2 linked regions of the Anolis sagrei genome follow. The protein of the gene in region 2 interacts with the protein of the main gene of each other region in a biochemical or structural test. Links are inferred from orthologs where the notes say so. Each region holds a gene or a part of one and is shown on either strand. Other genes may lie near its edges.

Region 1 (10,851 bases), on a different chromosome or scaffold from region 2:
TCCAAGGACCTAAACTTTTAATTTTCTGATCCACATGTGGACAAGCAGCAGTTGTGGGATGAAATATGGACCACAAAGTAAGGACTAATCCCTCTCCCAAATGTAATTCAGCCAGAATGAATTGAACTCCAGACAAAAGACAACTCCTCTGGCAATGCCATGAGCAGCATCAGGACAGGAGACTCAGATTATACCTTAGAGAAGTGGGAGAGATTTTCACCATTCCCACTCCACCATAACCTGCAAGAATCTCAACACTAATAATAGCATCTCAGTGGGGAATCACTAAGCAGTGGAGGAGGTTTTCACCTCTCAAACAACAGAGACTTCTGTTTCCCTACTGCTAACAGTGGGAATCAGAAAGTGGGGGGAATAGTAATTAATTTATAGTAATGGTTTCCAACCTTTAGTCTTCCAGATATTTTGGACTTCAGCTCCCATAACTCCTAACAGCTGATAAACTGGCTAGGATTTCTGTGAGCTGAAATCCAAAACACCTGGAGGACATAAGACTGGGAACCACTGATTTATAGCATCAGTTTCTAAGATTTGTGTAAAAGAATACATGATTACAATCTGTACTCTTAAATAATTATTCTTTTTTTTTAACTTTGGGACTCAAAGCATTTTACAATAAGCTAAAAACATACACAGCTACAAATTCAAAAAATACTTATTAGTTTATAGCATCAGTGTCTAAGGTCTTTGTAAAATGGTACATGGTTGTGATCTACAGCCTAAAGATACATCTACAGAGACCATATAATGCAACTTGAATCTGGCTCAAAAATGCACCTCCAAACTATGGACCTGATCTTTCAGAGGCATGCTGCAAGTCGTCTCTGGTTGCTTCTGGATCGAGAGAATCAGCCGTCTACGAAGACATTGCCCAGGGGACGCCCGGATGTCTTGCAATCCTGCGAGGAGGCTTCTCTCATGTCCCCCTGGGCACACAGAAGACTGGGCGACTTGGAAGGCGCTGAACAGACTGCGCTCTGGCACCACGAGATGCAGAACCAATCTTAAGAAATGGGGCTACAGGGTGGAATCCACGGCATGCGAGTGCGGAGAAGAACAAGCCACAGACCACCTGCTGCAATGCACCCTGAGCCCTGCCACATGCACAATGGAGGACCTTCTTGCAGCAACACCAGAGGCACTCCAAGTGGCCAGATACTGGCCAAAGAACATTTAACCAACTACCAAGTTTGCAAAATCTGTGTGTGTGTGTTTTTTTGTTTTTTTTAATCTGTGTGTTTGTTTTGTTCTGTTAGAATTGTAATACAATGGTATGGTTGCTGATGACACGATAAACAAATAAATCTTTCAGAGAGAGAGCAACCCCTTACAGAGCAGACTATGTCTTAAGACTTACTATGGCAAGAATAAGAGGACATAAGAGCAGGCTTTCTTGGCGGCTGCTCCCAATTTCTGGAACTTGCTGATAGAAAATGAATTTCCTTCTGCAAACAAGAGACTGACTTTTTATTCAAGCATGCCTTTGGCATATAAACTAGTTTGCTGTTGAAGGAGTTCAATGGAATAGGTACTGGCTATGTCTTTCAATGTTCTATTTTAATGTTATGATTTTAATCAATACTTATTGTTAGCTGTATTGTCAAGGTGTCTTTGATGTACTTTTTACTTCCAAGGCAAGGCATGTATGAAATGAATACATTTGTAAATAACCTATTTGTGAATAGAGTTATCTATGTGATTGTGGTACAGTAGAGTCTCGCTTATCCAACATAAACGGACTGGCAGAAAGTTGGATAAGAGAAAATGTTGGATAATAAGGAGAGATTAAGGAAAAACCTATTAAATGTCAAATTGCGTTATGATTTTACAAATTAAACACCAAAACATCATGTCTTACAACAAACAGACAGAGAAAACAGTTCAATACACGGTAACATTATGTAGTAATTACTGTATTTACAAATTTAGCATTAAAACATCTCAATGTATTGAAACAGCTGCGGACCCAGGCAGGAGGGAGACTACGTTGGATGATACAGAATGTTGGATGAAAGAAGGTTGGATAACAGAGACTCTACTGTAATTGTAATACACAAGAAGAAACAATTCTATATCCTCCATATGATTTCATACTAGAAAAAGGTCAGCTCTCAGATCAGAGGTATTTCTTGAAGAAATATGGAACACAGATAGTAGCACTTTGCTGTGGAATAATCTCTGCCAAAAAAAAATGTTTTAGCCTATCCATTTAGTTGTTTGAATTTCACCAAAATAAAAGTATAGTGGTGGTGCTCCATGCCAGGACTTCTTAAAGTTTTGCTTCTCGTGACCTCTTTCCACCCAAATTATTTTATATGCTCCAGGAATATAGGTATATATAAGATAGGTATAAAATCAAACACTGATGATAATAAATCAGAATTTTCAAGGCTTGCTAAACAGGCCGATTTTTCTTTTTGTGACATACAGCTGAAGCATTTGCTTCAAAGTCCACTACAAACACTGCATGGTTTTGTTAAGATTGGTGCAAAAGTGTGGCATTCAGAAACCTTTCCCTTTTGACAACAATGAATCATGGGGACCCCATTTGGGGTTGGACTGACAGTTTAAGAAGCAGTGCTCTATACAGCACTAGGTTAAACCAGGAAGCTCTTAAACATCTTTATCTGCAACAGCTAATGCAGTCTACAAGTAGGACACAATGGCAACAGCTCTCTCCTGCAGTCGCTCTTTGAATTCTCTGTCCTACTGAACTATTTTCTTGTGCTGCCCCACATTTAATATTTTCATACTCCTCTTACAGTTGCAATTTTTATTTTATGCTCGACTCCATACAAAAAGTCATGGCTTTTTGGTAGACACTGACAATGCCTATAGCTATATCTGTGCCCAGAATATGGTCTGGAAGTAATATTTGTTAGGAAGCAAAGAACTAGTTGGAATTGGTAAGAAGGGAGTACCATGTATGCTGAAGTATAAGTTGAATACATGTATAAGCTGTGGACAGATTTCGGGGCCAAAATTATAGATTTTGAGATGACTAGTGAATAAGTCGTGGGTCATTCTGTGAAATGAGGAAAGTGCCACCTTGGCTAACATTTTACAACTCTGGCATTCAAAAGGCCCAGAAGATTAAAGGGGTTAGTGCTTGTTTTAGGTTCCTCCAGAATGGGCCACGCTCTTGCCTTTTGCCCCTCTACTCAGAAAGGACTAGTATTTTAATAAGAGTCAAGTAAGATATACAATAATTACATTGCCCTGTGGATGTGACCCAGATTTTGGGGTTGATTTTTACTGTCTGTGCCCCTGTTCAGAAGATTTCACCTCACTTTCTGTCCCTATGATAAATGGATTTTGAAAAATGTGGAGAATATAATTTTATGAATGGGTTAGTGTCTCAACTTGGGGACTAACAAGGCAGGGCTATCTGTTCCCTGAGGATTATTGTCTTTGTGATTACCCAGTGAATAACCCATCAGGTGGGTCTGGTGCCCATGCCCATTTCTGACCTTACAAATATGCTGTCCCGAATGATGGGATTAAAGAATCCATTACGGGGAAATGGCATTCAGGAAAAACAGTGGCAGAACCTTCCAAATGTGTTGTCGAAACATCAGGAGAGAATGCTTCTGGAACATGGCCATATAGCCCAAAAAACTTACAGCAACCTTCCAAATTTCAGGAAGGGTGCCAGGTGATCGCAAGTCCTTATGGCCACACAAAAGGTTAGCCCAATTCAGGGTCCGGTCATCCTTTGTGAAGTCTGGAATCAATAGAGATGGATTGATTCAGAAGATGATGGGTGCTTGAGTCCTTTGTTGAGGTGGAGACCAGGGAGACACAAGGGGAATCCCAGGTCAAGGCGTGCCAGTGAAAGGTCACCAATGTCATGGTGGTGGCTTCATGGATCCAAAGGTATTTTATGAAATTATAAAACACAAAATATTACAACAAACACACATAAGCAATCCTTTATTGCCTATTGCCTGGGTTTTTCGAGTATGAAGGCAGTGAATCCTCTGGAGCTGGCAGCTGTTGCAAGTCTTCCTCCAGCAAGCCATCGGGACTCAGGGGTTCAGTTGGTGATGTTTGAATCTCCTGCCATGGTCCAAATGAAGACTTTTGCTGAGGTGAGGGATGTCTTGGCTTGACATCAATACGGCAAAAATATTAAATATTTAATTAAACTGCGAATAACATTGTAAAAAAATGTGCTATATTAGGTATTACTCCTAACCATTTGCAATTTTCACCCCAGGTGTTCAGTATTTGTAAATATCTTGAAGTAGTCCTTGCCTTTGGCAGCAATTTCCATACAAAGGTCTATGTAAATATTAATATATGTGTAGGACTTGCTTCTGTTGCCAGCTGTGCTGTGGTTGCTTAGGGTGAAAGCAGAAGACATGGCAATCAATAATATAAAAATACAAAGAGGATGAACAGATACAGGAAACAAAGGACGAAAAGAGGATGTGCTGCATTTTAAAAGAATCAGTGCAGCCTTCAGAAGCAGTTGGGACCGCAGCCCTCAGCATTCCTATATTGGCTATGCTGGGTGCTCCGCAATGTTTGGAGATGTCCCAATAATTTTGATCTACAACCTGTGACATCTTCACGTATTTTTTTAATGTCAGGAATGATTTGAGAAACTGCAAGTCGCTTCTGGTGTGAGAGAATTGGCCATCTGCAAGGACGTTATCCAGGGGACACCCAGATGTTTGATGTTTACCATCCTTGTGAAAAGCTTCTCTCATGTCCCCACATGAGGAGCTGGAACTGACAGATGGAGCTCTACCTGCTCTCCCTGGATTTGAACCTCTGACCTATTGGTCATCAGTCCTGCCAACCCAAGGGTTTAACCCATTGAGCCACTACAATGATAATGTGGGATTTCTAGTTTCCCAAGGGCATCTAATCGTTTGCCTCCTCAGACGCATCTATAGTCTAACGTCACACCACTTTAACTGACATGGCTAGGGTTGTGCAATGGGTTAAACCCTTGTGCTGGCAGGACTGAAGACCGACAGGTTGGAGGTTTGAATTCAGGGAAGAGCACGGATAAGCTCCCTCTGTCAGCTCCAGCTCCCCATGTGGGGACATGAGAGAAGCCTCCCACAAAGATGGTAAATCATCTAAACATCCGTACATCCCCTGGGCAACATCCTTGCAGACAGCCAATTCTCTCATACTAGACGCGACTTGCAGCTTCTATGGTTTCTTCCAACTCTGCTTCCACTGCAGCGGGGGCACGAGCGGTCACGTGGTGCGGGGCCCACTCCCTCCCCGCAGCCCCGCCCCTTTCCAGCAGGGGGGGCGGGGGCAGGAGGAGGAACGCACTTCGGGTTTCAAAACCGGCGCGCACGTGCGTTTTGTTTTGGTGAGAGGGAGAAAGAGCCGTTGGCGGCCCGGCGCGCCTGCGCACCAAGGGAGGCCTGGGGCGGGGCCAAGCGCGAGGAGCTCCGTGCGCAGGCGTAGAGCGGCCCCTTCACGCGCTGCTGCTGGAGGCGCTCTTGGGCTCCTCCTTGCCAAGCTCCCTCCCTCTCTCCCTCCCTCCCTCCCTCCCCTCGCGCTCGGAGCGGGAGGCTTCTCGGGGTGCCCTGGGGCCGCGGCTGAGGCGCCCGAAGGCCCTGCGAACCCCAGCGGCCTCCTCCTCGCGCCCAAGATGTCGCAGACAGCCATGTCCGAGACTTACGGTAGGGAAGGGGAGAGAGGAGAGGAGGGGCTGGCCTTGGCCTCTTCTGAGGGAGGGAAGCAGGGCTGGCGAATGAATGTCTATCCCTCTCAGTGGCCCAGGAGCCCAGTCCTTTCTCTCTTCGCCAATAGTGACCAACCTTTCCCACATCCCTGGACCTGTGGTGGGAATAGGTACCTTTACCTTACAAAGGCCATGACACATCTTTCGCCCTCACGCAAAACAGCATGAAAGCCACAACAGAGCGAGGCCCTTCATGGTGACCTAAAACGCACCAAACGGCTTCGTTGGCTGAGGGGGGAAAGGAGAGGGCCTGAGGCTGTTAGGAATGGTGGGAGTTGAAGTCCAAAACACCCGGAGGGCCCACGTTTGCCCAGGCCTGCTCCAACCCAACTGAACATCATCTGGTACAAAATGCAGGCCCGTGGGCCCATCAACACTGTGGTGGAGGCTCCTCCTTTTGAGGCTTTTAAGCAAAGGCTGGATGGCCATCTGTCGGGAATGCTTTGAATGCAATTTTCCTACTTCTTGGCAAGGGGTTGGACTGGATGATCCATGAGATCTCATCCAATTAAATGATTCTTTATGTAATCCAGATTATGAGTTCCCACCTGTCAGCTCCAGCTTCCCATGTGGGGACATGAGAGAAGCCTCCCACAGGATAATAACACATCCAGGCATCCTCAGGGCACCAGAAGCGACTTGCGGTTTCTCAGGTCGCTTCTGACATGATTTTAAAAAACTGGATCATATGGCAGTGTAGACTGATATAATCCAGTTTTTTAAAATCATGTCAGAAGCGACCTGAGAAACCACAAGTCACTTCTGGTGCCCAGAGGATGCCTGGATGTGTTATTATCCTGTGGGAGGCTTCTCTCATGTCCCCACATGGGAAGCTGGAGCTGACAGGCAGGAACCCATCCCATCTCGCAGTTTAACCCATTGCTCCACCAAGGCTCCACTATATAATCCAGTTCAAAGCAGGTAATCTGGAAGTTTCATGACAGTGATGAGGCCCATGATTCAATACCAGGCATGGGAAAACATTGGCCCTCCAGGTGTTTTGGACTTCAACTCACACAATTCCTAACAACCAGTAGGAGTTGGGAGTCCAAAACATCTGGAGGGCTGAAGTTTGCCCATGCCTGAAACACCATCACTTTTCAATACTTTATAAACAATCTTGCCAATGGAGCCACTAAAAGTCTGCATGAGGTATTTTGTGTGTTATGGTTGGCCAATAAGAGTATTGCACTTTTGTTGATTTTGTTTTATTTTACTGCAAATCCACATTCTCAACAAAAAAGAGGGTGCATGATGTGTCGTGCAAGATTGCTTCCTCCTAAGAGGACCTTGCATATTGCTCCCTGTTCTTTTCCATATCTTTATTTCTGTGCTCTTTTTTAAGGGCTGCTTTTTTCCCCCTACTGGACCAGGAGTGGGAAAAGAGCAAGTAGGAGTGATGTGCATTGGGTTGTTGCTTGAAGAAGGAGTACATGAGAATTGCTTTTCCTGTGAAGCACAGAGCCCTTAAGGCAGGGGTCCTCAAACTTTTTTAACAGAGGGCCAGGTCACAGTTCCTCACACTATTGGAGGGCCGGATTATGATTTGAAAAAAAACCCAACATGAATTCCTATGCACACTGCACATATCTTATTTGTAGTGCAAAAAAAAAAAAACCTCACTTAAAACAATACAATAATTAAAATTAAGAACAATTTTAACAAATATAAACCTATTAGTACTTTAATGGGAAGTGTGGGCCTGCTTTTGCCTAATGAGATAGTATTGTTATTGTTGTTATTGTGTGCTTTCAAGTCGTTTCAGATTTAGGTTGACCCTGAGCGAGGGCCGGGTAGATGACCTTGGAGGGCCGTATCTGGCCCCCTGGCCTTAGTTTGAGGACCCCTGCCTTAAGGGCTTGTGTATCTGTGTATACATTCAGTTCACCTGCTAACTTACGGTGAACCCATCAAATTCATAGGGCTTTCTTTGGGGCAAGGAGTGCTCAGAAGTGGTTTTGCCAGTCCCTTTTTCTGAAATAACAGATAACAGTGCCAGAGTTTTGATGCCAGTCTCCCATCCAAGTACTATCCAAGCTGATCCTGCTTAGCTTCCAAGATCAGATAGACTAGTGCTTTTAGATTAGTTGGGTCCTATGGCATCCTTCATTAAATCAAGCTTATCAGTAATGTGGTCTTTCTCTTTCCCTACTTAGCTTCGAAGATCTCACAGGACAACGTGCCTTTAGTTTATGTAGATCCTTAAAGGACTGCATAATACATATTATTTCAGAAGTTTTTATATCATCCATACATGGTGGGCCAGACCCATAATAAATCTCAGTATTTCTCATCCTTGTTTTCTGGTTCAAGAATACTTTCAAAACAAATATGAGGGAAGGGAGCTTAGTAGTTGTTTATTCATTCAGTCACTTCTGATTCTTCATGACCTCGTAGACCAGCCCAGCTCCCTGTCAGCCGTTGCCACCCCCAGTTTCTTCAAGGTCAAGCCAGTCACTACAAGGATAACATCCATCCATCTTGCCCTTGATCTTCCTTTTTCCTTCCATTTTCTTTAGCATCTTCCCCAAGCTTTCCTGACTTTTCATTATGTGGCCAGAGTACTTCATCTTTGCCTCTAATATTCTTCCCTCCAGTGAGCAGTTGGGCATTATTTCCTGGAGTATGGACTGGTTTGATCTTCTTACAGTCCAAGGCACCACATATGTTATACCACATATGTATAGTATAGTGATAGTGCTGCTACTACAATCTATATCAGACTAGCAAGTGATCCATAATGTCAGAGAGTGTAGAGGCGAATGGTTGCAGCTGTTAAAAAGGTAACTGGCTCTTCTTTGTGGGAAGCTATACTTGAGATGGGAATTTCCTCTTTGTGGGCTTGGAGGTGTGGGCATTTTGAGAAACAAGTGTTACTATCTGCTTGTTTCAGAGTTTAAAAAGATAATATTTAATGAAAAATGTTGGATGTGTATAAGTAGTGTTTCTTCAAAGGGTTAATATTACTGGAAGTGCCCAGTATCTTTATATTTCTAACTATTTACATTACCAAATTGTTAATAGTTCTAATTTTCTTCTTGGTACACAGCATTATCAACTTTCACTTTTTCAGGAATCTCTTGCTAAAAACAATGATACTTTGCATCTGTTAAATGGTTTAGAAAATCTTTCCACTTATTATTTCTAAACCAAGTTAACTGTTTTGCATAAATTGGGTCTGAAGAACTAAAAAAGTGCCTGTATGCTGTACAGTCAAAGGAATAGAGATCCCCTTATTACTGTTTAAATAGTTTAATTTTATAATCCCCTCTATTTCATACTCATTGTAGAAAACTGACAGCAACCCCATTGTAGACAACAGACAGTTGTTTTTTTATTAATTCTATTTCGTCTGTTTTTTGGAGGGAGAACCCACTAGTGAAGTAACATTATTTAGTGAATTAATGTTAATGCTAAATTATTGCATTACTAGCATCATTTTATAGTAAAGTTTTACAACAGGCATCTTATAACATTCATCTCTGTGTTGCTAGGTTCCGTCTTCCAGACAAGTTTCCTAATGTTTCCAGACTGGCTGTGATAATAGTTCTGTTTGGTGGTCTGAGCTGCGTTTTCCTTTTTTAGTTATTCCTAGTAACAACTAGCTTCTCTAGGGTGAGAAACCAGACAGCTCAACAGAATCTTGCAGCTCAAGGGTTCTTTGTTGGTAGGGAAGAAAGAGAATACATCTTATAATGAAGTGCCTTTCAAAGCTTTGTTTTTGTTTGTTTTCTTCTGTAAAAAAGAAGCTGGGAGCAAAGTTGAATCATTTAAACAGCTGAAGAAATAACAGGCGTAAGAATTCCTTTCGCTTCACTATCCAAACAGTAAAATATATAAATCACTTTTCCCACAGTGATTTTGAACATAAGGACTACTTTGAAGCCACTGTAAAATTCATGTGAATTTGTGGCACATTGTAACACATGATATTTTTCTATTTTGTAAAGTTCTGTGTTGGCAGAATATGCAAGGAGACTGATATAATTGCCCTGCACTCAAATAAGATAGTCTTGTTTACAAACATGTCCATTATTTCAGCAACTTTCAGACATGAATAATTGACAGGTTTGTAAACTATATGTACTTCCCTTGGTAGGGGGATAGTATCTCAGTCATATGGCTGCAGCAGAATAGACATGCTATATCCTTAGGAATATTTTAGGTTCAGTATGTAATTCTTCAAGGAAAATAGATTTTTATAACACAGTCTGGCCTTCTGTATTAATTTTAGTACATCTAGTTCTTGTAACCAAAAAACAAATTGCTATTAAAATTGAGAAGTTTTGGAATTGAAGGATTTTACTACTTATGGAGTGAAAAATTGTCATATCCAAAAGATTGCAACCTCTGGTGTGGGGGGACGAGGGTACCAAATAGCAAATTCTATGTGCAGTTAGATCTACCACAGCACATTATTCTTCTATTCCTTACATTTATTATTATTGTTATTGTTATTATATTTATTTATACCCCACTTTATCTCCCCAAAGGGGACTCAAAGCGGCTTGACATAAAAGCATTAGCACATAATTTGAAAGATACAAATATACAAAAATTAAAACAGAATTAAATACAAACAGCAGTAAAAAATCAATTAAAATCCGTTCTCACCAACTGAGCTTGGGATGCAGGTGGAAATGAGAAAAGGACCTCTCGTGAAGATCTCAGGGCTCAGGCAGGTTCATAAAAGGGGATGCAGTTGGCCAAATAACATGGACCTGAACCATCAATGGCTCTAAAGGTCATAACCAGCAGTTTGAATTGTACCTGGTAGCTAACTGGCAGCCAGTGGAGCTGCTGCAACGAGGGTTGTTCCTGTAGCCAGCCCCAGTGAGCAATCAGGCTGCAGTTCTTTGGACCAGCTGAAATTTCTGAGCACTCTTCAGAGACAGCCCCCCAGTACCATGACATGCCTTGGTGATTACTAGTGGATGCTTGTCCTGCTTCCACGTTTTCTGGCGTTCTAGATCTGCCAGGGATTTTCGTTTCAGTGTGGATCTACTTGCTCGAAGATTAGAAATCCATACCAAAATCAGTTTCCAGTCTGGTACAGATGCATTTTGACCGAGCACGAAGCATGTATGTAACACTCTCTGTGTCGTTATCACAGACAG
Region 2 (10,683 bases):
TCAGTTGGGCTTTGGCTTTTGGGTTTTTAGAGCAGCCACACAGCAATGCCACCCTTCCATGTGGTTGGTCCTTAAAGATGTCCAGTCACAATCAGGGAAATGCAACAGTGACACCTACTGGAAGCTCTCTGCTCCGTCTGTTCCTCAGCTAACAATGAGAGCACATTACAGAAAAGTGCTGGTTGAACAAAATGCTTGGAACAAGAATGGTTTTGGATTTCAGATTTTTTATTATTTTACCTATACATAATGAGAGATCTTTTAGTGCGATGCAGTAGCTAAAAAAACAATTCTAGCCTGTATCAATAGGAATTTAGTGACTAGATCAGGGAAAGTAATTGCCCCACTCTTTTCTACTTTGGTCAGACCTGACCTGGAATACCGTGTTCAGTTCTGGACACCACAATTCAAGAGGGATACTGAAAAGCAGGGAAAGGCAGCCAAAATAATCAATGGTTTGGAAGCCAGACGCTGAGAAGAGCTAGGTATGATTAGCTTGGAGAAAAGAAGACTGAAAAGGGACCTGATTGCCATGTTTAAATATTTGAAAAGGTGTCATATTGAGGAGGGGGTGAGCCTGTTTTCTGCTGCTCTATAGACTAGGCCACGGAGCAGTAGATTCAAATTTCAAGAAATGGGATTCTACCAAAACCTCAGGAAAAATGTCCTGACAGTCAGATCTATTCAGCAGTAAAATATGCTGCCTGGGAGTGTGGCGGAGTCTTCTTCTCTGGAGGTTTTCAAGGAGAGGCTGGATGGCCATCTGTTGGGGATGCTTTGGTTGTGTATTCCTGCATGGCAGAATGAGGTTGGACTGGATGAACCTTGTGGTCTCTTCCAACTCTATGATTCTTTGGCATTTCTATAGTGTTTTGGACCAAAATCTAAACACAAAATTCATTTATGTTTCATATTTACCATATACACACATCCCAATAGTAATTTTATATAATAATAATAATAATAATAATAATAATAATAAATTAATGTATTTATTTATTTAATTATTTATATCCCACCACCATCTCCCCAAAGGGACTCAGGGCAACTTGCAAAACACTCCAGGGCACATATAACGTACAACCGGTAAAAATGGTACAAAAGTATAAAACAAGTCACATAAAATTATAACAACAATCCCCAGTCAACATATGTTAGTATAAAATCAAAACAATACAATTTTAAAACAACAGTAGATAAAACCAACTGCCGTCAATTCACATGTGTTTCATATGGACCCATTCAGCCTACTCATGTTGGAATGGAAAAAATGAAGGGTGGGGGCTAATCTAATCTCATTTGGGAGGGTATTCCACAGCCAGGGGGCTACCACAGAGAAAGCCCTCTCTCTCGTCCCCACCAACCGCACTTGAGGCAGTGGTGGGACCGAGAGGAGGGCCTTCCCTGTCAATCTCATATGTAGTATGCTTAATAATATAATGCATGAAACCAATATTGTGTGTGCCATGGACCACCAGAAAGCACAGGTGTCCCTATCCCAGACACCCTTATGGACAACTTTGGATTTTATAATAATAATAATAATAATAATAATAATAATAATAATACACTTTATTTATATTTCGCCCTTCTCCCCTAAGGAACTCAGAGCAGATTACAGCATTTACATACATAGCCAAACAAACATATAAAGTTCACTGACCAGTAATAATAATGAGAAAAGGAAGAGTCACAGCTACCTTCAACATCAGAAAGCTAAAAGGACAATTAGAGGAGGCAACACTGTTACACTTAAATTGCACCAGTAGTGCAAAAGGTAGCATATTATCTTTCCGTGTAGGGGGAAAGCACTTTTTGCATGGGACAAGTGTCTTCTATGATAAACACCTTGGAAAAGTGAACTGGGAACTGGTGCTATAATTCTCAAAATCCCCCATGTCGTATGACCACTGGGACTTATAGGTATAGTTCCCAAAAGGTAACATTTCCAACTCTAGTTGTGCGAAAAGGGGGCAGGGATGTTCCTCATCCTAGTCACTATGAACTCAATACATCTCTTCCAAATGATGTTCCGACCCATTTGCATTTCAAACTACATTAATTAAACATTATATCATAAAGCACTCATTGAAAAAGATCAAGCTATCCCAGAGGAAGGTTTTTAAAATTAATTTCAAAAGGTTTGTTTCATATGAATTGTAGAAATCTTTATGAAGTAATAAATTCCTTGTTCTTTGAATGGTTGAGAAAGGAGCTCTGCACAGGCATAATCTTTTCCCTTCTAACCAGAGATTCAGAATCTTTCGCTTCAGCTCTTCAAAATCTCATATCCCTTCTCCTTAATTTGAGGATATTTTTATCCTGATTTTTATTAAGTCCAGAAGAAGCAGGTGTGTTTCCAAGTCAGTTATACACCATCTCCTTTTATGGTATTAAATAGCTACCCCAAATGAATTTTAATACTGCATCTGGAAGAGCTTTATAAATATTGAGAAACTTGGTTTCTGGGTAACCAGAACTCAAAGATGACCATTTGACTTTCTGAATCATGATAAGGCTTTCTATAAATGCCAAATGTTCTAGCAAAAATAATGTGCTACTGTCATTTTATTGGAATAAAGAAATAGAACAAATATGTGGGTGGTTGCCTTAATTTTTCAGCTTTCTGGATTTCAAATAAATTAGTACAGAAAACTATAATATGGATGTTGCCTAGAAAACTCAAGCAACTGAAGACTAATAAACTTGATGTCGATAACAAGGAAAGTACTATATTTAGACAAGAAAAAAATGAAATGCACAAATATTGGATAGTGGTATAAGTTAAATGATGGGGCTCCGCTAGAAACTTTTGCTTCAAAGGGGGATCTATAGAAATGCTGGCTGGAGGAATCTGGAAGTTACAGGACAACGTTTTGCCACTATGGCAATTCCACTGCTTGTAATGAGAACAACAGATATTTTCCCCCGTTTCTCAGCTATGTTCAACACTGAAACTCAGTATAATTTCTTGTTTATGCTAGAATGTAAGTCAGGTGAGGGCATCTTATGACCCTAGGGGTTGTTGGATTGTAATTCCCATTATCCTTCCCACTGTCAATGCTAACTAAGAGCCCGTCCACACAGCCCTATACCCCAGAATATCAATGCAGAAAATCCCACAATATATGCTTTGAACCGGGTTATCTGAGTCCACATTGCTATATATTCCAGTTCTAGCAGATAATGTGAGATTTTATTCAGCTGTATGGAAGGGGCCTAAGGCTGATGGGAATAGCAGTCCAGTTACATCTGATCAGCCACAAGCTGCCTTTCCCTGATATAATGAAATTCCTTGATATTAATTGCAGATCTGAATATAAAGCATCAAACTGGAAAAAAATACAGTGCATGCTTCATATTAATTTGGGTTGCCATAGGTTGGGTTGCCAAAGCCCCTTCCACGCAGCTGTATAAAATCCCACATTATCTGCTTTGAACTGGGTTATATGGCAATGTGGACTCAGATAACCGAGTTCAAAGCAGATATTATGGATTATCTGCCTTGGTATTATAGGTTATATGGCCATGTGGAAGGGCCCCAAAAGCGATTCTATAACAATAAAGTCATCCACAGGATCTTTTTCTCCTCTTGTGCCTGAAAATGATGGGATTTCCTTTGCCAAAATTTGTTCGGAGATTTGCTTTTGCCTCTTCTGAGGCTCAGAGAGTGACTTGCCCATGGCCGCCCAGTAGGTTTCGATGGCGGAGCAGCGTTTGAAATCCTGGCCTCCAAAGTCATAACCCAACACAGAAACCATTACAACATGCTGGCTCTCAATCAGATAACTACTTAATTATTGTATTTTTAATCAGATGACTAATTTAATCAGATGACTAATTTTGGTTCTCAACCCGTGGGTCCCCAGAAATCTTAACAGCTGGTAAACTGGCTGAGATTTCTGGGAGTTGTAGGCCAAAACACCTGGGGACCCACAGGTTGAGAACCACTGCCTTAGAGGTTGAGAAACCATGTGAGTGCATAACAACCAAATAGCCAAGACTTTTGTGAATTTCATTTTTTAAATCTAGGTAGTGGAGGTGCCTCCACGCAGGTAGATGATGCCACCACAATGGTATGCAGAATCCTTTCCCACCAATATTTCCACTGCAGACCACATCCATAGGAGAACTTGTGAAAAACACTGCAATGTTAAAATTGCAGAATCATTGCTTGGCCATTAATTGTCCACCCAGGGAGCCAATTTCCACATATTACTGTGAATACCATTTCTTTTTTTTTCTTTCCTTATATGCAAGGCTCTTGAACAAACAAGGTAACTGACTAGATTAACTCACTAGATGGCAGTGAAAGCTCGTGGTTCACAGTTTTTATCCTGCAGTAAGTTTCAGCTCTCTTTTCAGGTACAGGACAAGAGGAGAAAAGGTTAGAATTATCCTGGAAGATGCAAAAGGATTAGAATTAGAATTATATGAAACAGGTCACCATGAGCAGGGTTGTTGTGTGCTTTCCGGGCTGTACGGCCATGTTCCAGGAGCATTCTCTCCTGTCGTTTCACCTGCCTCTATGGCAGGCATTCTCAGAGGTTGTGAGGTCTGTTAGAAACTAGGAAAACTGGGTTTATATATCTGTGGAATGTACAGGGTGGGAGAAAGAACTCTTGTCTGTTGGAGGTAAGTGTGAATGTTTCAATTGGCCACCTTGATTAGCATTTAATGGCCTAGCAGTTTTCAAGGTCTGGCTTCTTACTGACGGGGGGGGGAGGGGGGAGAGATCCTTTGTTGGGAGGTTATTAGTTGGCCCTGATAGTTTTGTGTCTAGAATTCCCGTTTTGAGTGTTGTTCTTTATTTACTGTTATATTTTAGAGCTTTTTAAATACTGGTAGCCAGATTTTGTTCATTTTAATGAATAAAAGGATTCCCCCAGGCAGTAAGAAGCCAGACCTTGAAAACTGATAGGCCATTTTGAGGGTGCCTGCTGCCATGGATGTGGATGAAAAGTGCAATTTATATATCTGTGGAATGTCCATAGTAGGAGAAAGAACTCTTCTCAGCAGTCAGCCAGGCTTTGATGTCACAAGGCCATTAAATGCTAATCAAAGTGGCCTACTGCAGCATTCACACTTGCCTCAAGCAGACAAGAGTTATTTCTCCAATCCTGTACATTCCACAGATATATAAACCCCAATTGCCTAGTTTCCAACAGACTTCACAACCTCTGAGGATGCCTGCCATAGATGCAGGCGAAATGTCAGGAGAGAATGCTTTTGGAACATGGGCAGACAGCCCAGAAAACACACAACAACCCAGTGATTCCGCCCATGAAAACTTTCGACAATTAACCGGTTGTTAGGAATTGTGGAAGTCTAAAACACCTGGAGGGGCCAAGTTTGCCCACTCCTGCTCTATATAGCCTTCTCTGCCTAAGAGAGCTGGGGCCTCCATCCAAAGTACTACAACTCCCAGGATTCCTTAGCATGGAACCAAGGCAGATCACGTGACGTCAGGTTGCATTCCTTCCTTCTTTCATCCACCCTTCAAGAGGCAGAGGCTCCCTCTTGGGACGCGCGTATCACGTGACACCCCCCCCCCCCTCGAGCCAAGATGGCCGAAGGGGAAGGAGCCGCGGAGCCAAGAGGGGGCCCCGAAATCCTCGGCGGGGCCCAGGCGCCCGACACTTCCGAGCTCCCAAGCGACGGCCCGGAGGAGAGTGTGGAAGGCCCGGCCTGGTCGGCGCCCCTCCTCTCTTTGGCCAAGAGGGCCTCGGAAAACTTGGCGGCCGGCTATGGGAGCGCCTTGAAGTCTGCAGCCTTGGTAGGACTCATGCCCAAACCCGTCAGCCCTGACAGCGCCGCCAAACAAAGTACGGCTACTACTTTTCCTGCTTCTCCTTTCTGGGGTGTCATTCAGCCAGCCAGCCAGCCAGTTGTTCCTTACTTTGCACGTCTGGGAGGAAAAGTTTGACTGCGTCTGCACTGCAGAAGTAATGCGGTTTGACCCCACTTCAACTACCCAATGCCGTTGGATCATGGGAGTTGTCGCTTTTCCTGGTTTCCTCGCCAAACTAGAAATCCCAAGGTTTCATAGTACTGTGCCACAGCAGTGACAGTGGGTAAAACTGTTATTTCTACTGTGTGGAACAGGCATGGGCAAACTTCGGCCCTCCAGGTGTTTTGGACTTCAACTCCCACAATTCAGGAATTGTGGGAGTTGAAGTCCAAAACACCTGGAGGGCCGAAGTTTGCCCATACCTAGCGTAGATGCACCCTTTCAGTGCCACTCTATAAAGTCTTTGTCCCATGAAAAGGGGCTCAACAGGTGTCCTTTGATGTTGCATCTACACTGCAGGAGTAATACAGTTTGGCCCAACTTTACCTGACATAGCTCAGTGCTTAAAAAAAACCCAAAAAAACAGGGAGTTGTAGTTTGGTGAGGCGTCAGCACTTTTTGGAAGAGGCGCCTAAAGTCCTTATAAAACTATACATCCCATGTTTACATAGCATTGAGCCATGGCAGCTAAAGTAGTGTCAATCTCTTGTCAATTTATCTGGCACCCTTTGCCAGAGAAGGCTAAAGATGTTGTGAAATGACATGCATTGAGCCATAGCAGTTAAAGTGGTGTCAATCTGCATTCGTTCTACAGTGTAGATGTGTCCTGAGGTGTCGCTTTTGTTATGAGACTTGGAGCAGAAGTAAATAAAGTCTAAGCAATCTTAATGTAAACTAGGCTTCATCATGGAATAATCCAAGCATTTGTTGTTTACTGATATTGGGTTCACCTCCAGACAAAGGGTCTATCTACACTTACCTGTCCGAATTCATTTCCCCTTATGAACCCTCCAGGACAGTGGTTCTCAACCTGTGGGTTCCCAGGTGTTTTGGCCTACAACTCCCAGAAATCCCAGCCAGTTTACCAGCTGTTAAGATTTCTGGGGGTTGAAGGCCAAAACATCAGGGGACCCCGGGTTGAGAACCACTGCTCCAGGACTTTAAGATTGTCTGGAAAGGCCCTGCTCTTGGTCCCGCCTTCATCACAAGCATGGTTGGCAGGAAAGAGAGGCAGGGCCTTCTCAGTGGTGGCACCTCGACTATGGAACGCCCTCCCTAAGGATATCAGATCAGCCCCCTCCCTTTTAACATTTCAAAAGAGAATCAAAACTTGGCTCTTTGAGCAGGCATTTCCAAATACACATAGGAAAATGGAATGGTTGAACAATGTGATTAGACAATGTTTTTAATAGGAGACCCTAATGTTCATGTTTTTATTGATTTTGTTATGGTTTTATTATCCGATTATTTTTATTGTATTGAAATTGTATTTTATGGTCTCGGCACCAACTGTGAACTGCCCCGAGTCGCCTGCAAGCTGAGAGGGACGGTATATAAATATAGTAACTAACTAAATAAATAATACACTCTAGAATGAATGCAGATTGACACCACTTTAACTGCTATGGCTCAATGCTTGTCATTCCACAATGTCTTTAGCCTTCTCTGGCAAAGAGTGCTGCTGCCTCACCAAACTACAAATCCCATGGTTCTACAGCATGGAGCCATGGCAGTTCAAGTGTTGCTGCATTAATTCTAGAATACAGTTGCACCCATGGTTGCTATTATATCTTTCTGAAACATGAATGACTTCTGAGACTAATGTGTATTAATGCAGGAACTATGCCTTGAGCCTTCTCATCCGTTCCACTTCTAGGATCACGTGTCTGGCCTTGGTGATTCTTGGAAGCTCAGCTGCATTGCTTCCTTCGAATCAACAATTCATGAAAAGGAGACATAATTGCTGTAATTCAGCAAACTTAGGAAAACTTTTTGAAGTCCACCTAACTGTAAATGATGCTTGTGCGTGTTAGATTGTGATCTACTGGTTTGCATAAGACTAGAAAAGCTGTCCTAAGAAGGGTGGTCCATGACATTTTAATCTTATGACAGAAAAGGCAGGCTACTCCACCCTAACTTCCATTTCATGCCTGGCAGATTGGCTGTATAATTTTACTGCAGTACTAGTCATGGGGTGGCTGCTCCCATAACACCAGAAAATAACAAACTAGAGTGTGCAGATGGGGGTGGCATGAGCATCCCATCCTCCCAAGAAAGTTCAAAAGTCCAAAAGAAATAGTTATGTGGAGCTACCACTTCTTTCTTCCAGCATTTGCCACAGAGGCAGTTTTCTGACTTTGCCTAAAGTCGGGGCCTTCTCTGTAAAAGCATAACAGGGAAGAAAAAAGGAACAAACAAGTAGTTATGTGACACTTTGAAAACTAACCACCTTATTTCATCATAAACTGTCTTAGATTAAAATCCATCTCTTCCATGCAAGAAAAATTGTGTGATGAAATAAATTGCTTTGTTGTAAATGTATGACAAGACTATTTTTCTTCTTATGGTTTTTAAAAAATTTGCATATAGAATCTTAAGGAATTTTGTACTCAATTTTTCAAAAATATATGAAAACGTTAGATTTACATCTGTGTTTTCACAATGATTGAGTTTTGCACAATAACAGTCAAGTAAATAAAATTATCCTCTTCTTACCCTGGTTTCTTTTAGATTAATGTTCAGTCTGACTTCATTCATCTCCATGTATAATAATCCTGTTTTAATAACTTTATTTTTGTACCCCACCTCCATCTCCCCGAAAAGACATGGGACGGCTTACATATGTCACAAAATGCCTAAAAACAATGCATAAAATAAACATCCAGTACAATACAAAAAAGTAAAACCAACAGCACATAAAAACAAAAATTTAAAATTCAGAACAATACCCAATAACCTATGGTGACAGCTGCCATAAGACGTGGCCAAACTATAAACAAGACAAGGGAATGGGATGAGAGTGCAGTGCCGTGTCATTAATTGTGGACCATTGGGGCTAGACATTCTCAAAGGTTTGTTTAAACATCCAAGTCTTCCAATCCCTATGGACAGGCCCGTAGCCAGGATTTTGATTCAGGGGGAGCTGAGTTTGATTCAGGGGGAGGAGGAGCTGAGTCTGAGTGAAAGAGGGTCTACCCTAGCAAATCTTTTGTATCGTTACCCCAATACCCCCATACATATGGGAACATGGTGATCAGATCATATGAATAAACATAAAAGTTTAAATAATGTACCAGTAAGACCTTCTCGTGGACCACCATGAGTAAGACCTTCTCGTGGACCCCCCCCCCCCGGCTACATGCCTGCCTATGGAAGGAGGACAGTGTTGAGGCCGGCCTTATCTTCCTAGGGAGGGCATTCCAAAGCCGGGGGGCGGGGGGGGGGGGGGGAAGGTGACACTGAGAAGGCTCTGTTTTGCCAACTTCTAGGAAATATAGGTTGGCAAATTACAATACTTGTAAACTTAACTAATGTAACCATTGAATGGGTCCTTCATAGACTCCATAGAGCCAGGTATCTTTTCTTCCAGTTCCATCAGTGCCCAAATTGTGGGGGGAAACTAGATTAGCATTTTATGGTGCATTTACACCATGTAATTAATGAAGTTTGACACCACTTTAACTGCCATCACTCAATGCTATGGAATCATGGGAGATGGTAGTTTTACAAGCTCTTTACTCTCCTCTTCCAAATAGAGTCTCTAATTAAGGTTGCAATTGAAGATCTACTTATCTGGGATTGAATTGCATTGAACTCTATAGAGTTTGCCTTTGGGTAAACAAGGATAATATGGCAATGTAATTCTTAACACCATTGTTCCACAGTGATGAGTTTGCATACACCTGTGGGGTAAGAGGCTATACTGAGGGCAGGAGTGCTGCTAGTAATGTTTCTTTTCCTGAGGAGCCAGACTAAATAGCTACTGGGCAGTAGCAGAAGTGGAAAGTAATCCTGGAAGAGAATCTCTCATTGGCATCATAGCTAACACCTATTAGTAATGCAGGAAAGAGGGCATAATAAATTCATCAACCCTATGATGAGACATTTGAAAATGAAACAAGAGTTAGTGCCAGAAGATGAAATTCCCAGGTTGAGTGGCACTCAACAAGCCCTTGGAAGACAACTATGAGTAGTGCTGTGTCTAATGATGCAACTAGACTCAAGTTGAAAGGACATTCAGCCGTTGACATGCTCTGAGTTGAAAGGAAAGTCTAAAGCTGCACAGCACATGTTATAGGAATACAGAATGAGAAAATGAGGGAAGATAACCACAGTAAAACAAGAAATGGAATGTATAAACATGAACTGTACATGAACTGAACCAGCTAAAGGCAATTTTAGTTTATTTACTGTATTTTAATTCTGTTTTCACCACATGTTACTATTTAATTGTTTTATAACTTTTGTATTGCACCTTTTAAACTTGTCTAGTGTGGAGTTTTAATTGCCTTGAGTCCCCAAGAGGAGAAAGGCAGGGTATAAATAAATAGTATGATGATGATGATATGCAGAGTAATGGCACATTTTGGGTCAGACAATTACACAGCATTTTACTCAGGAAATCAAAATCTTAAGAAGAAGAAACTCTCTGAACAAACGAAAGAGAAGCCACAACTGATGATGCATAAAACCAGTTAAGGGCAGATGAGAAGCATAAAAGGGGACATAAATAGAGTCAGAACCCTAAATGCAACTATTGTATGACTTGGGCACAGGGACAAGGAGAACTAATATCAATGCAGAAAAATAGACAATGACAAAAAAGGGAAGGACAAGAGACCTCTGCCACAAGGTCTGAGAAATCAAAGGGAAATTTAAACCAAGAATGGGAC

Evidence for each region.
Region 1: the proteins of RUFY1 (region 2) and RAB4A form a complex in vitro, tested with the Homo sapiens proteins (2 studies listed by BioGRID). The link is inferred for Anolis sagrei from reciprocal best matches to the Homo sapiens genes RUFY1 and RAB4A.

The regions. Positions count from the first base shown.
Region 1 is NC_090021.1:61,133,521-61,144,371, forward strand, and holds the start of RAB4A (ras-related protein Rab-4A), read left to right. Parts: upstream 1-5,436; 5' UTR 5,437-5,641; coding exon 5,642-5,672; intron 5,673-10,851. UniProt on the Homo sapiens protein: The small GTPases Rab are key regulators of intracellular membrane trafficking, from the formation of transport vesicles to their fusion with membranes.
Region 2 is NC_090022.1:86,946,052-86,956,734, reverse strand, and holds the start of RUFY1 (RUN and FYVE domain-containing protein 1), read left to right. Parts: upstream 1-5,525; 5' UTR 5,526-5,566; coding exon 5,567-5,825; intron 5,826-10,683. UniProt on the Homo sapiens protein: Activating adapter involved in cargo sorting from early/recycling endosomes. Regulates retrieval of proteins from endosomes to the trans-Golgi network through interaction with the dynein-dynactin complex.